Linked DNA regions of Oryzias latipes. The protein of the gene in region 3 binds, or shares a complex with, the protein of the main gene of each other region. Links are inferred from orthologs where the notes say so. Each region holds a gene or a part of one and is shown on either strand. Other genes may lie near its edges.

Region 1 (4,249 bases), on a different chromosome or scaffold from region 3:
AGTGCATCTTTAACATTTGATGCCTCATTAAAAGCTGGACTTTACCGCAGCCCCTCCAGTCCGGGTGCTTTATTTCTTTAGTTTACACTTTCTCTTCCTTTCTCCATGGGTTGGGAACGTAACAGATTTGATATATTATCCTTTTTTTTTACATTTTTTATACTAATTTTGCTTAATAAATATATTCTATAAAGAAACTTCCTCCAGGATTGGAGAAATAGTGAGTTAAACTATTGTTTAACTCAAGTCTGATGTCTTATCTTAAGAATCACTATATAAAGTGTACATTTAGTAGAAAAGAATTTTAATTTGTGCTTGTAAATAAGAATGAATCTGTTTATGTCTTATCATCTGAAGCTCTTTGGCATTAAAGTTAGCCCAACTTCTTGTTTTGTGTTAGCCAAACAGGTTTCTTTCATGCTGCTATACTATCTTGGAAAAGCTTCAAGAGTTTTTGACCAACTAAATATTTTTAAACCCTTTTAATTTTTTCCCTTTGTGAAAATTTGTTGTTTTTATTACAGTTTTGAGGGAATTTCAAAATGTTACAGGCTGGTTTTGATATTTTAGTTTGGGTCTGTACATTAACTATCTGCTCCGATGGACCCGAAATCGAAGTTTCAACATTTTTTCTTGCCATAACAAACGTTCTGGGAGGAAAACTATTATTTTCCTCCAGGAACATGTTTGAATTTTTATTTTTTTATGTTTAAAAGGTATGTCTGATATGTATGAGGCAGCTCAAATGTGAGAGCCTTTAGTTCTAGTAGGATTCTTCCTGCTCAAGGCCGGATACGGGCAAGGTCCCCCCACCAAATTCTGCGATCGTCACCCCCAAAAATGTGATGGCCCACAAAAATACACAGCCAAAAAAAACAAACAGACAAAATGTGACTGCCCCAAGCCCGGTAAATGCAGAAGATAGTGTCAGTAAAAGCATTCAACATAAAATGTATAAAACATACCAAATACATCAGAGAAGAAGATAGATACACACGGATGGACGCACTATAAAAAAGCAGTAATTCATGAATCACTGAAGGCAAACTCATTTGGAATTTCACCAAATTTCTTCATACGTCGAAAACAGACAACTTTTGTGTCTTTTTGTGTGTTTTTTTTCTCATTAAACTTCCAATACTTATTTAGTAATGTTGTACTGAAACAGCAGGAATGAGGTCAGAGGAACAGAATGCAAAACAGCACTTCTGATACACACAGACGTAAGCTGGTATCTTCACACAGCCTTGGAGATAGAACACCACACGCTGTGTACAATGAAAAATGTCTTGTATTGATAAGCCACTGCAGTCGGAGGCATTTATGCTTTGTGCTGCACTTGTACAAGTCGAGCCGCCATGCAGAGACAAACCGTCTGCTCTGGCCTGAATAGATAGGACTAAAAACGTCTCTCTCACAGGAAATCTTTGGATGAAGCCAAAAAGGTAAGGACTGATTCCGCCATCAGAGGTACGTTTTTCCCCATAAGAGTCAAAATAGGATGAAGTTCATCCCTGCTGTTTAAAATCAAATGTTTTGTTCTTGAAGGATGGCTGCAGGCTCCTGAATGCTCTTCCCTGAGATAATCCTTGCATTTGTTGTTTGTTCACTTATGGTTGATGAGACTCCAATCGAAATCTCAAAAGAATTACTTGTGGGGTTTTTTTTCTTTGAGAATCTTCATTGAAATGGGAAAAATATTTGTTCTTAATATCGATTAATACAGATGCAAACTCTTCACATCTAAAAAACCCCCAAACTTTTCAAGTTTGATTTAAGTTTTTCTCTGTATTTTCTAGTGTTAAACTTTGTTTTAATAAAGTATGGTTGTGTAAAAAAAAAAAGCCTTTATGAAGCAAACTTCTTGACAGATCAATGTGTTTGGGCTCTGCAGAGGGTTTTGCAAAACTGGAAGAATTAAAGTATTTCGTCAAGAATTGTTTTGTCTCATAAAGAGCTGGGATCTAGAAATAAATAAATTATTATTAACATGAGTCATAATCCTTTTCTCCATAGGCTACAATAGGAAATTTTGATTTAAGACTAAAAAAACTAAAATTCTTGATTTAAGAATTGTTCATAAGACATCTAAATGCATTTGATTTAACAGACTTAGTATTTAACACGGAGAAGCCACATTAAATCTTTCAGAGAGTTTGATAACATTGTAAAAAGTAGATTTATGTTCTGAGATTAAGGGCTAGTTTTAGATTTGATGAGGATTTATTAAGATGGGCCAACTTTTGTTCACACTTTGTCCTAAAATGAGTCATTTCCACTCATTACACTGTTTTTTTGTAACTGTAATCAAAACTGCAATTCATTCAAATATTTATCATTGGACTGTAAAACATTTAACTTTCAGTAACTCTATCAGGCAGCAGCTTTTTTAGCTTATTTTTCTCATTTTTGAATGCTTGTTTGGAACTTCTTGTTTCTAAATTTCCTATGATAAGATTTCTTGTTAAGTAAAAATGACTTATTGCATAGACAGATATTTTACTGCATTCTAGTGATTATCTTCTAAAGAACAGCATTTATTTATTTTTAGGCTACCCCTTTTGTCTTATTCCTATATTCTAATCAGTCCAATATCCTTTTTTTTTGTTAAATTCAGGATTCAAGGGGTTTTTATTGCCATTGTCAGTGAACAAAGCAGTTTCACAGACTAGGAGTTTGCTGCGGTGCCAATGTGCCACATACAACACTTAGGAATAAAAATGAACAATAGTAAGCAAAATAACATAAAAATGACACAATGGTCAGAACAATAAATAGAAATAAACAGTGCAAACAGAGGATGAAGAAGGTGCAGGTAACGGACTGGTAACTGGACATATAAGTGAAAAGTTTAGGGGGGGGATTAAAAAGGGTTCATGAGTCGGACTGCAGACGGAAAGAAAGAAAGGTTCTGGTCCAGATGGACTTTAGCCTCCTGTCCTAAGGGAGTGGTTCAAGTAGACCATGACCAGGGTGAGAAGGATTGGCTGCTATCCGACCTGCACGCCTCCGGGTTCTGGAGACGTATAGGTCCTGGAGAGATGGAAGACTGCAGCCAATCACCTTCTCAGCTGAGCGCACAATACGTTGCAGTCTGTGTATGTCCTTACTTTCATGTTGTGTTTTGTTATATTGTCTGTAGTCTACTTTTAGGTGGTAGGGCAGCACTTTAGTAATTTCTGCATTGTGTTTTTAACAATCAAATACTTTTGTTAACTACTTTGTGGCAACAGAAAACGAATTCCTTTAATGACGTTCAAAATCTAAAGATTTCAGTTTAAGCAACTAACCAGCCGACGGACCTTATCTTGTGTATCCAGCCGGATAAATATTTGGTCACTGAGTCACCTGGGTGCCTGAACTGTGGAAAACAGCTGCAGCACATCAGTTCTCCCTCTTCCTAATCTTATTAAAAAAAAAAAAAAACAGCCTCTTCACTAAGGTCAGAAAAGAGTGTGACCTTTTACTTAAATGGCTGCTCTTTTGGTGTTTTTGACAATTGACTCCCCAGAAGTTCACACAGGAAGGAAACACAGATAGAAGTCATGATTTCTTTTCATTGGCATTTTATAATGGAAATTCTGGCTAAAGGATACTTTCTCCTAAAGCACTGAATGGTACTTGCTCTGAACACTTCACACAAACAACCAAAGATCTAGAATTAGTTTCAAAATCCAAAATGTTGTCAGGCTCAAAGCTCAGATTTAGCCGTTTATCCTGCTTTTTCCCAATAAAAAATAATCCACCTTTAATTATTTTGAGTCCATAATCTTTGTTTTCTGGGAATACTTTGGGGTTGAAATAGCATAGAACCTTTTCAAACATCAACAACATTTGTATTCAAAGACGAGCACCGGGGATAATGACCATAATTGTGGCTGAAAAGACTTCCTGTTGTATGAAACCGCATCATCTCTGAGAGCATGTCCACATTGACGGAGTGGATCCATTCATCAGCCTGACTCATACTTTGACCCTTCGGTCAATACTCTCCCCACAGGGAGCTCAGAACTGAGCGCACGGAGACACTGAACGCTGGTGGATCTGCTTTTGAGCTTTCGGATCATGGTGGAACCGACCCTTCGCACCAGCGCCGTTGTGCTGCTGCTGATTCTGCACAACTGTGCAGCAAACCACGGTACTAAACCTTTGCTCTGTTCTTTGAGGTTCTGCAGAGAGCTGCAGCTCTTAGGAGCAAATATAATGGTGAAACTGAAAAACTTAAAACACAGTTTTAGGTGCTTTATTG
Region 2 (4,367 bases), on a different chromosome or scaffold from region 3:
TTAAGGACTTAAAGAACTGATGACTTTTCAAAGAATAAAAAAAAACAAGACTTGGTAAGGAAAATACATGTATTTAGTGGTCAAAACAACATTGAAGAAACCGAAAATTCTTTTTGGCAAAAATCTCCACAATGGTCAACAACACAGTGACACCGTGATAGTTGGTGGCTGAATACTTGATCTGAGGAGGCCTAAGTGCAGAACACTTAACGGTTTCACAGTCCTCCAAACGTTTTCACGCCAGCTTGCTGTTCTCCTCCTGACATGATGCGGTTGAGGGGAATGATCTTCATGGTCGTCTCCTTCAGCGAGTACCAGCGGTCGTGCCACGTCAGCCAAGTGATGCCATTGTCATAGCCGTGTTCACCCGCATCTTTTTCCGTGTATCTTCCACCTGGATGACAGAAACGCAGATTCCAAATTTTAATGTTTTTAACCTATTTATACATTTAAACATGGAAGTAACCACTTTTAGAGTCATTGTACCCTGGTAGTATTTTCCAGTCAAATGAGCGGCGTGACATCTGTTCATCCACCACCCGGAGCCGTCCTGCTGGGCACAGTTGCCATCATATTTGTCGTTGTCCTTGTCGAAGGTGCTAAACTGCATGCCATTGTGTGACGTGTAGAACTTGTCGCTGGGGTCTTCTCCTAGGTCAACACCATCGAAAGCATCTCCTGCGTCGCCACCAAAGTAGTAGCCATACATCAAGCGGTAATTGTCTTCTGCTGAGCCTACCCTAAACATGGCGTAGTCAGCGTGCCTGGAGTAAGAGACAGCAAGAAGTGAGACGTTTGAACCAGCTTAGATCTCGTTATTTACATTTTCCAGCCACATCAATGAGAGGTCATGTTTGTTTTATCATGTCCCTCTCTGCTCCTGTTACACAATCTGTCATAGTGCGTGGGTGTTCGTTTGTACTTTTTGTTGCCCTCCCAGTCAACAAGTTCTATCCTGAGGACAACCGGGATGGTGGTGCTGATAGTTAGTTGATGGATCTTTTCATTTCCGAGCCAAAACTCGGTGGTGTCATCCGGAGACAGATAGCCAAAGCCCTCCTTGTACTGGACCCAGTCTCTCCTGAAGTCCACACTGCCGTCACGTCTCTGCGGACAAAAAGGAAAATGGACTGGGATAAAAAAACTGTTTTGAGTGTGGGAAAAACAATAGCAGGATTAAAATGGGTACCTACTCTTTGGAGTACCGTAAAACCCCGCCCAACACTGTCAATCTCACAATAAACCAAGAACTGCTCCTTAGCTTTGGCTGGCTTCACATAGTAGAGGCCGCTGGTGGTGGCACCTTTATTTGCAACATCCTGGCAATCTGAGAACAACAAACAAACAATCATAAATGAAAAAAAATATGCATTCGTGGGACGTGACCATTTGTGTCTATGCCTAAAAGAATACCCCAAATTTGAAGTAATGGAAGATTATTTCTAAGACAAAACAAAAAAGCTTCGATGTAGCTTATTGATTTTGGCAGAAAACTAAACCCTGAACAAGGACACAAAGTGCTCACAACAGGCCCGATTGAGAAACTCCTTATGAAATAGGAACGGCCAGAGGGTCACGGGGAGTGTTTACCTGCTCCTGTGATAGGCTGGATTTCAACGGAGTCTTTGCAGGGCTCGCTGCATCTCTGCTGAAGCTGCATGGACAGCTGCTTCAGGTCTGCCATGCTTCTCTCATTGGAGGAGATCACATTCTGGAGTTCACTGGTGAGACAGGGACACCCAAGACGACTCTGAGTCATCATTTCCTTATGCTAAAAAAGATTATTGATGAAAAATGTTTGGGTTGCAAATCCGTCTGTGGGATGTTTGGTGGCGATTGGGAGAAAAAGTAGTTGAAACATCAATAGAAAAATAGAAAGTGGTGCAATTTTTGAACGTTCTGTGAGGAAGTAAAAAAGACAAGCGTTTCCTCCTCTTTAGCTTTGACTACATGATATCCCATAACAGGATGATGGAAGCCTTTTTCTTAGGAAAACAATTCAACTCTCTACAACATAAGCAGCTCATGTTAGCATAACTGTAGATATGATCCTCAAAAACACCAAAAATAAAAAAAACTTAAAACAAAATAGAATGATACTGAAGTGCTGAGACTACTAAAAGTGTCTATGAGATCAGAACTGACGCCTAAAATCCTGCAGTTAGACGTAAACCTCTGTTTTACTCACAATATTTGCTGTTCTTGTGCAATAATTGTCTTGTCAAATCGAAGAACGTCTTCCAGCATACTTGACGACCTTTTATAGAGAGGCTCTGAAATGAAAACAACCACGTATGCATTTATTTTAAGCTCGACATGTAACATTTGAAAGAATTTATGAAACCAACCAATGAAGAGAGAAACAACATTTTTCTATCTTTTTTGGAAAAAAAACCACATGGTGTTCACCTGGCTGGGAGCTCTTCTGGGCTGAAGCAGCTGAATCTCGCATGTATGTAATTTTTTCTTCTGCTCCTTCAGTCAAGTTAGCTATCATGTCCAGGTCTTTTTGCATTTCCGCCAAAATATCACTCACTTCTGGTAAATACTTGAAGAAGTAATCAGCAACTCCACATGTTGTGGGACAGTATTTTCCCTAGAATCAAAAAAGGCAAGTTGATTAAAAAGGAAAAAAAGATGTATTTTGATGAACACATGACACAAGTTTGGTACTCACAAAGCCATCATTTGTGGTGCATGTTCCCAGATTATCTCCTCTTACTTGCTATAAAACAGGACAGATTAGGTGAGTTGATTTTTTTTTTTCTCACAACAAAAAAATTGCAATCATTGAACTCACTGCAGATGCCAGGGAGAAGAGTAATAGAAATCCTCCCAAAGTGGCAAGAAGTTTTGACTGCATGTTGTTCTGGCTTCCTGTGTTTTTGGAGAGTGAAGGGGTGCCTGGACTGGGGGAATATATATCTGTACGTGGCCACGGGTCAGACTTTGGTAAAGGTTCATGGGTAAACATTCCACTCACTTTGTTGTCACAGATCTGTGACTCAGAGTGTAACAGGGGTTGCTTCAAAGTTGTGACGTTCTCAAAGTTTACCAACTAGAACACAGCTCCAACCTTCCGGCACAAGCTATATTTGTGCAAATCTGACTGCAGGTGAGGATGACTCAGCATCTTCTGGAACATGGCTCGTCTGCAGTCGGGAAATCGAAAAAGAATCACAACATGACTCATCACATCAAGGCAAATCATTTGTTTTCACTTGCTTGAGTCCATCTGTCATTACACGAGGAAGCATTCTGCAGGGTCTACATGCACACAGTATGTGCTGCCAAAAGTATGAAAACAAGATCAAATTCATAAAACTGGAACGTTTTGTTAAAGTTTTATGCTTCATATTGTTTCATGCCATTTCATTTAAATTTTGGTGTCTTAAATGAATGTCAATCAAAAGCATTTTTTGGGTTATTTATACTTTATCAATACATATGCAGATTGTTTAGCAATTCTACAAGTATTCATGCTATATAAGAACAAAGAGGAAGCTTTAAAAATAATTAAATTAGTCTATCCCAGGAATCATTACACAACACATGTCAGGTATCAAAATGGAGTTCCTATTGATTGTCTTCAGAAAAAGTTATTGTATTAATCGAGACTTGATAATAATATGAAAATTACTGCTCAATTTTTGCAACAGAAACTCATTTCTAAAGCACCTCGAAGGAATTGTGGTCCTGCTTGTAATAAGGAAAACAGCAGAGACACCTTAAAACTGATCTTCATGCATGGCTAGTTTGCTACGCTCACACTGACCTTGGCGACGTGCGTTCGTTCAAGCGACCACTTCCTATAAAAAGTCTATGTGAATGCACGCTTGAAGCTATCACGTTCATGCATAGCTTTGCATGTTTTTAAATCCGATTTTGGGCTCTATGTACAAACGCTCTGCCTTTGAACGCGCATTGAAAGCTAAACCAGTTGAACTTTGAACCAATCAGAGACTCGGATTTGGTAGTGAATTATGGGTAGTGTCCTTTTTAACCCACGGAAGTGCCAACCATTTGAAAATTAATTATGAAGGAGGAGAAATTAATAACTGTGGTTTGTGCCCGGCTGGAATTCTATAACAGCAAGTCTATCATATATCAGAATAGTTATGTGAAAGAAAAAGCTTGGAGCAAGATTCACCAGATTTGCACTGCTTTGACATTTTGCTGCAAGCCTCTTTCAGCTATGAGTACTACTTGCACAAGTATCGGGTAGCAACAGTCAAGTGTGAACACTGTATGCTAAAATCGCGTTCAAGAACCCGTGCTTAGCATGTTCTTTAGCACATTTTGCATTACTTGGCAAATACTATCACAACAAGTTGTAATACATCCCGATAACCTTTCCCTCTGTGACC
Region 3 (4,137 bases):
GAAATTGCGAAACAGAACGACAGCGAAAGGTGAACCACGGTAACATCTGACCAGAGTGTTGTAGACTAAGAGCTCTCTGTACATGTAAACATTCTGAACAGATCTTTAGGCAGAGAAAACACTTTGCACCGATATGCAACACTTTAAGCTACTAGCATGCTATCGTAAAGTGTTGCATGTTGACGTAAAGCTGCTTTCCTCAGCGTCAGAATTCCTCGGTTTACGTTAATTGCGTAAATGGTTGAAGTCCCAGTGGTTCAAAGAACATCAACAATCAGGGTTAGGGTTAGGGTTAGGGTTAGACCTTCAGTTCTGGTGTTGGGGGTTAAGATAGGGTGTGACGATTCATTTTGGGATTATATCATAATGTGTGGTCGCAGATACGATTCATATCGGTTCATTGTGAACAACCCACTGACCTAAAATTGATCCTAGACATCTTTAGCCAAAAATTCATCCTGTGACTATTTGTTGTTGCGTTGAAGAAAAATGGCACATAGGTGTTTTTGGGTGGTCAATAGTGGCTTACGTCACTGAACAGGTCCTGTTTCTGTTGACCCTGCACGGCCTTGGATTTGTAGATGCTGTCCACCTGCAGGTCCTTAAGCGGCCGGCTCTTCATCACGTAGAGCGTCCCGGCTGCTTCGATGTTCTGTGGCGTCTGCGAGTCCAGCTGGGCTACCTGATGGACAGAGAGACAGAGAGACCTTCAAAAGCAGGTCTTCTCACTGATGTGGTGGAACTGCGGCGGTCCCCACCTGCTTTTCCAGGGTGACGTAGCTCTGCTGGTCCACCTGGTACTCATGGTAGGTTGCACAGGATCCCTTACAGGAGCGAAGCTTCATGTCGATGTCGACCTGCCAGAGAGCAACAGCAACAGACGTCACCACCAACAGATGAACCGGTTTAGGTTCAGGTAGATGTTGCGCTCTCTCCATACCTCCAGCCTTTGCATTTCCGTGACCTGTTCCCTGATTCGCCCCTTCAAGGCGGCCATGACTTTCATCTGTCTGTCAATCCTGATTTTGATCTCTGTGATTCTCTGACGCAGACTCTGGGCCAGTTCGAAGTACTTGTTGTCGTGACCTGTTTGGAGACGATAGCACAACCGATGGGACTTCCTGTCCACCAAATCCAGGAGGAGAAGAGACGGTTTTCTGACTCTGACCTGCATCGACGGTGAGTTTCTCCCGCAGGTAGTCGTGGGTCTGCTTGGACACCTGGTCGGCAGAGCGATACTTTCCCTTGTGCTGATTCAGCTGGTCACGGATGTACTCGATCCTTTTCAGCAGGTCATGGTCATATTTATCCATCAGACCTTGAATCCTGCAGCCGGAAGGACATTTGTGGCCCTACGGTGGACAAAAGGGGTCAAATTAACACACTACAAGAAAATGACAGAAAAATGAATTTAAATCAACTTTTGTAGGGTTTAAGTAACCCCCCCCCCCCCCCCCAAAAAAAAAAATATAAACAAAATAAAAAATGTGACATTTAAATCTCTGCAAATGATGCATTAAAATATACAATTTAAAGCTGCAGGACAAAGACTGTCTGCTTATTTTTTTCTCTACGAATGAAAGATAAAAAAAAACAGGAAATGACATTATTAGAGGAAGCGCGTTCATTGGTTGTCTCTGATGGTTTAGTGTGGAAAGGAGCAGAATGACCTTGAAGACTTGACCACGAATCCTAAAGGACGATGAACTGAGCGTTTAGCAAAACCTAAAGCAAACATGAATCCCTTACAGAAGTCAGGAGGTTTTACCTTTTATACCCCAAAAACATTTTAATGAGTTTAAGTCCAACATAAGTATAGAGATGCTAAAGATTATTGTCATCCGTGTTCCTCCAAAATATAACATGGTTACAGTGTTTAAAGAAAGGTAAATGTTGGGGCTTTTGTTTGACATTTGGACACCCATATTCATACTTTTATTGGGTGCAATTATCAGTTATCAATGGCCCTTGACCATTAATCATCTGTATCTTTGAAGGAAGCATGTCAGGCGATCGCTAAACGAAGACATTTTCGTCAGTAAATTGTTTGTTTTAGCAGAATTTCCTTGTGCATCCAAAGTTTTCACAGCTGTTTTTCTGTTTTTATTGAAGTGGTTCCCTTCTTTGCTTTGTGTTTTCGGTTGAAGGGGGGGTCAAACCTGGTGACATGTGTTATGACGAGGCTGTGTGTCGATTCTTGAGAAAACGTTTATCCGTTACGGCTAAGTTCATCGAACGCTCCGTACTGCAAAGACCGTTTCGAAGGGAATCGTGAAAAGGAAAAGAGTCTCTGAGGAGGTTTTTAGGAAAACCACAACATTCCTCCCCCGGACCATTACTTCAGCTACTCTGACCGTGTGTTGAATGAATAGGCGGTAAAACGAGGAAGAGTACCCAGTCATCGTCGAGACAGAACGGCCACTCCTTCTGCGTGGCACATTTCTCGTCTCTGGTTCCATGTTCCACCGGTCGAGCTCCTCTGGGGTCGATGACGGTGTCCTGAAACAACAGAGACTGGGCTGTGAGGACCAGAGGCTGGTCACTGCGTCAGAAAGAGACCAAAGCTCACGGAAATATAGTTCAAACTAAAGGTTCTCTGGGATCCTCAAAAAAGAAGCAACACTTAAAACCTCCAGAGAGGCGTGTCTCACCTGTGTGAAAGCCACACAAAGCAGGCAGGTGAGAACCACGAGCTGCTTCATCCTTCTCTCTTCTGTGTCTGACTGCATCTGCGCAGCTGCAGTCACATCTTTTGAAGGCCTCCACCAAAGCTGTGACTCACCAGAGAGCCGCCGGCCGTCAGGTCGCATCAGAGTTGAGCAACGGCTCCTGCTGATCGATACGTCGCTGTTTGTTGTCCTGCTGTGGCAAAGTACACAATCTGTGAACCCAAACACGCACAGCTTACCAGCAGCCCATCCTCCACGTCCTCCAAAGGCAAACTTTCCCTGATGGTAAACAGGACCGACTCATCCTGTGACTGATCCTGTACGATGAATGAGACTTGCAGAGTCAAGCTTTGGTCACATGAGCGTTTGAGCCAGTAAAAGCCATGTTTCAAGTCTTTTAAAGAGACCTCAGGTCACCTCGGTTCCCCTGAAAAGCTTTGTCACAAAAGCTTTGTCACAAATACTCAGTTAATAAGTTTAAAAACATTTTTTTTCCCCCTTTTTATGTTTGACACAGATTATTTGTCCTCCTAGAGAGGAGCCGCTGCATGTTAAGGGCAGAGCAGTTCCCTTGAGTCTCATATACACTTCAAAGGACGTCATTGTCACGGCGCAGTAAGGCTAATGAAAGTGGGTGTCGTACACCACACTCTAGTCGTTAATGACATCACGCGAATGCCGAGTGTGATGAATAGGTGGTCATCGGACGCCCGTAAGATGTCCACACTAACTACACTCTGATTGTCTAAGGATGCGTGGACACCAGGCATGTGATGCACATTGAAGAACGCTCTGAACACAGGTTCTAGAACGAGCTGGACTGGCGCTGCCCAATACTAGCACATGTCTGCCACCTACAGTTGGAGTGGTGTGACATGTCAAAGCTTTATTCCAATATATGAAAGACATTGAATGATCCTAATTTGTAGATTTTGACTTTGTGAAATCAGTGACGTCATATCTGTTGTTTAAAACAACCAAAATAGTGAGCACGGTGTCTGAATGGTTTTTAACATCCAGGCCACTAGTTAGTTCTGGACTACATCGTTAGAGTTTGTCGTCTTGTATAAACTATTTCTCTGCAGAAACACTGCAGACCTTCATGGCTTTGCAGAAGAAACACGCAAACTCTGGTTTATCCCTTGTGGTATCCTAGGCACTTTAACATTGGGAGTTGGGTCATCTAGACCCACTAGACAGTGCTCTGAACCTTTTTTCTTCAATGATTTGTGATCTTCACTGGTGTCCATGGATTACATTAAATCTTTCCACCTTTATCCACCTTTGTCATGGTAGGGAGAACACGTTAAAAGTCATCTTGACCCCATAGGATAGCACAAGGGTTACAAATGAATCTAAAGTCATTTTTTTTCTCTGTTTGTCTTTTGTTGTGGTTTAAATGATTGTGTCATTCTTGTGTTGGCGTTTCTCACCATTGTTGACAGTTGACATGTTGTGTGATAAAATG

The links.
Region 1: the proteins of fga (region 3) and prothrombin are in contact, whole or in part, in a crystal structure (PDB 2A45), measured with the Homo sapiens proteins. The link is inferred for Oryzias latipes from reciprocal best matches to the Homo sapiens genes FGA and F2. Residues at the interface, in NP_000499.1 of Homo sapiens: Trp52, Pro53, Phe54, Cys55, Ser56, Asp57, Glu58; in NP_000497.1 of Homo sapiens: Phe382, Lys384, Ser385, Gln387, Leu423, Arg425, Tyr434, Glu439, Lys440, Ile441, Ser442, Met443, Lys470.
Region 2: the proteins of fga (region 3) and fgg are in contact, whole or in part, in a crystal structure (PDB 3GHG), measured with the Homo sapiens proteins. The link is inferred for Oryzias latipes from reciprocal best matches to the Homo sapiens genes FGA and FGG. Residues at the interface, in NP_000499.1 of Homo sapiens: Trp60, Asn61, Lys63, Cys64, Pro65, Ser66, Gly67, Met70, Leu73, Ile74, Val77, Asn78, Phe81, Arg84, Ile85, Leu88, Ser91, Tyr95, Asn98, Leu105, Ile109, Ile112, Asp116, Ser119, Arg123, Asp124, Tyr127, Val130, Ser131, Asp133; in NP_068656.2 of Homo sapiens: Thr47, Thr48, Cys49, Gly50, Ile51, Ala52, Asp53, Leu55, Tyr58, Gln59, Val62, Asp63, Leu66, Gln67, Leu69, Glu70, Leu73, Thr80, Ile87, Ile90, Gln91, Tyr94, Glu98, Asp106, Ala107, Ala108, Thr109, Leu110, Ser112, Arg113.

What each region holds. Positions count from the first base shown.
Region 1 is NC_019860.2:10,383,397-10,387,645, reverse strand, and holds the start of prothrombin, read left to right. Parts: upstream 1-1,314; 5' UTR 1,315-1,445; intron 1,446-3,940; exon of another isoform or gene 3,941-4,000; 5' UTR 4,001-4,065; coding exon 4,066-4,138; intron 4,139-4,249. UniProt on the Homo sapiens protein: Thrombin, which cleaves bonds after Arg and Lys, converts fibrinogen to fibrin and activates factors V, VII, VIII, XIII, and, in complex with thrombomodulin, protein C. Functions in blood homeostasis, inflammation and wound healing.
Region 2 is NC_019859.2:20,796,625-20,800,991, reverse strand, and holds the start of fgg (fibrinogen gamma chain), read right to left. Parts: upstream 2,936-4,367; 5' UTR 2,864-2,935; coding exon 2,801-2,863; intron 2,726-2,800; coding exon 2,678-2,725; intron 2,597-2,677; coding exon 2,410-2,596; intron 2,274-2,409; coding exon 2,189-2,273; intron 1,722-2,188; coding exon 1,591-1,721; intron 1,328-1,590; coding exon 1,194-1,327; intron 1,108-1,193; coding exon 923-1,107; intron 765-922; coding exon 487-764; intron 395-486; coding exon 216-394; 3' UTR 1-215. UniProt on the Homo sapiens protein: Together with fibrinogen alpha (FGA) and fibrinogen beta (FGB), polymerizes to form an insoluble fibrin matrix. Has a major function in hemostasis as one of the primary components of blood clots.
Region 3 is NC_019876.2:1,414,652-1,418,788, reverse strand, and holds the start of fga (fibrinogen alpha chain), read right to left. Parts: upstream 2,945-4,137; 5' UTR 2,920-2,944; coding exon 2,909-2,919; intron 2,830-2,908; coding exon 2,652-2,829; intron 2,500-2,651; coding exon 2,395-2,499; intron 1,353-2,394; coding exon 1,169-1,352; intron 1,087-1,168; coding exon 941-1,086; intron 858-940; coding exon 759-857; intron 683-758; coding exon 530-682; intron 1-529. UniProt on the Homo sapiens protein: Cleaved by the protease thrombin to yield monomers which, together with fibrinogen beta (FGB) and fibrinogen gamma (FGG), polymerize to form an insoluble fibrin matrix. Fibrin has a major function in hemostasis as one of the primary components of blood clots.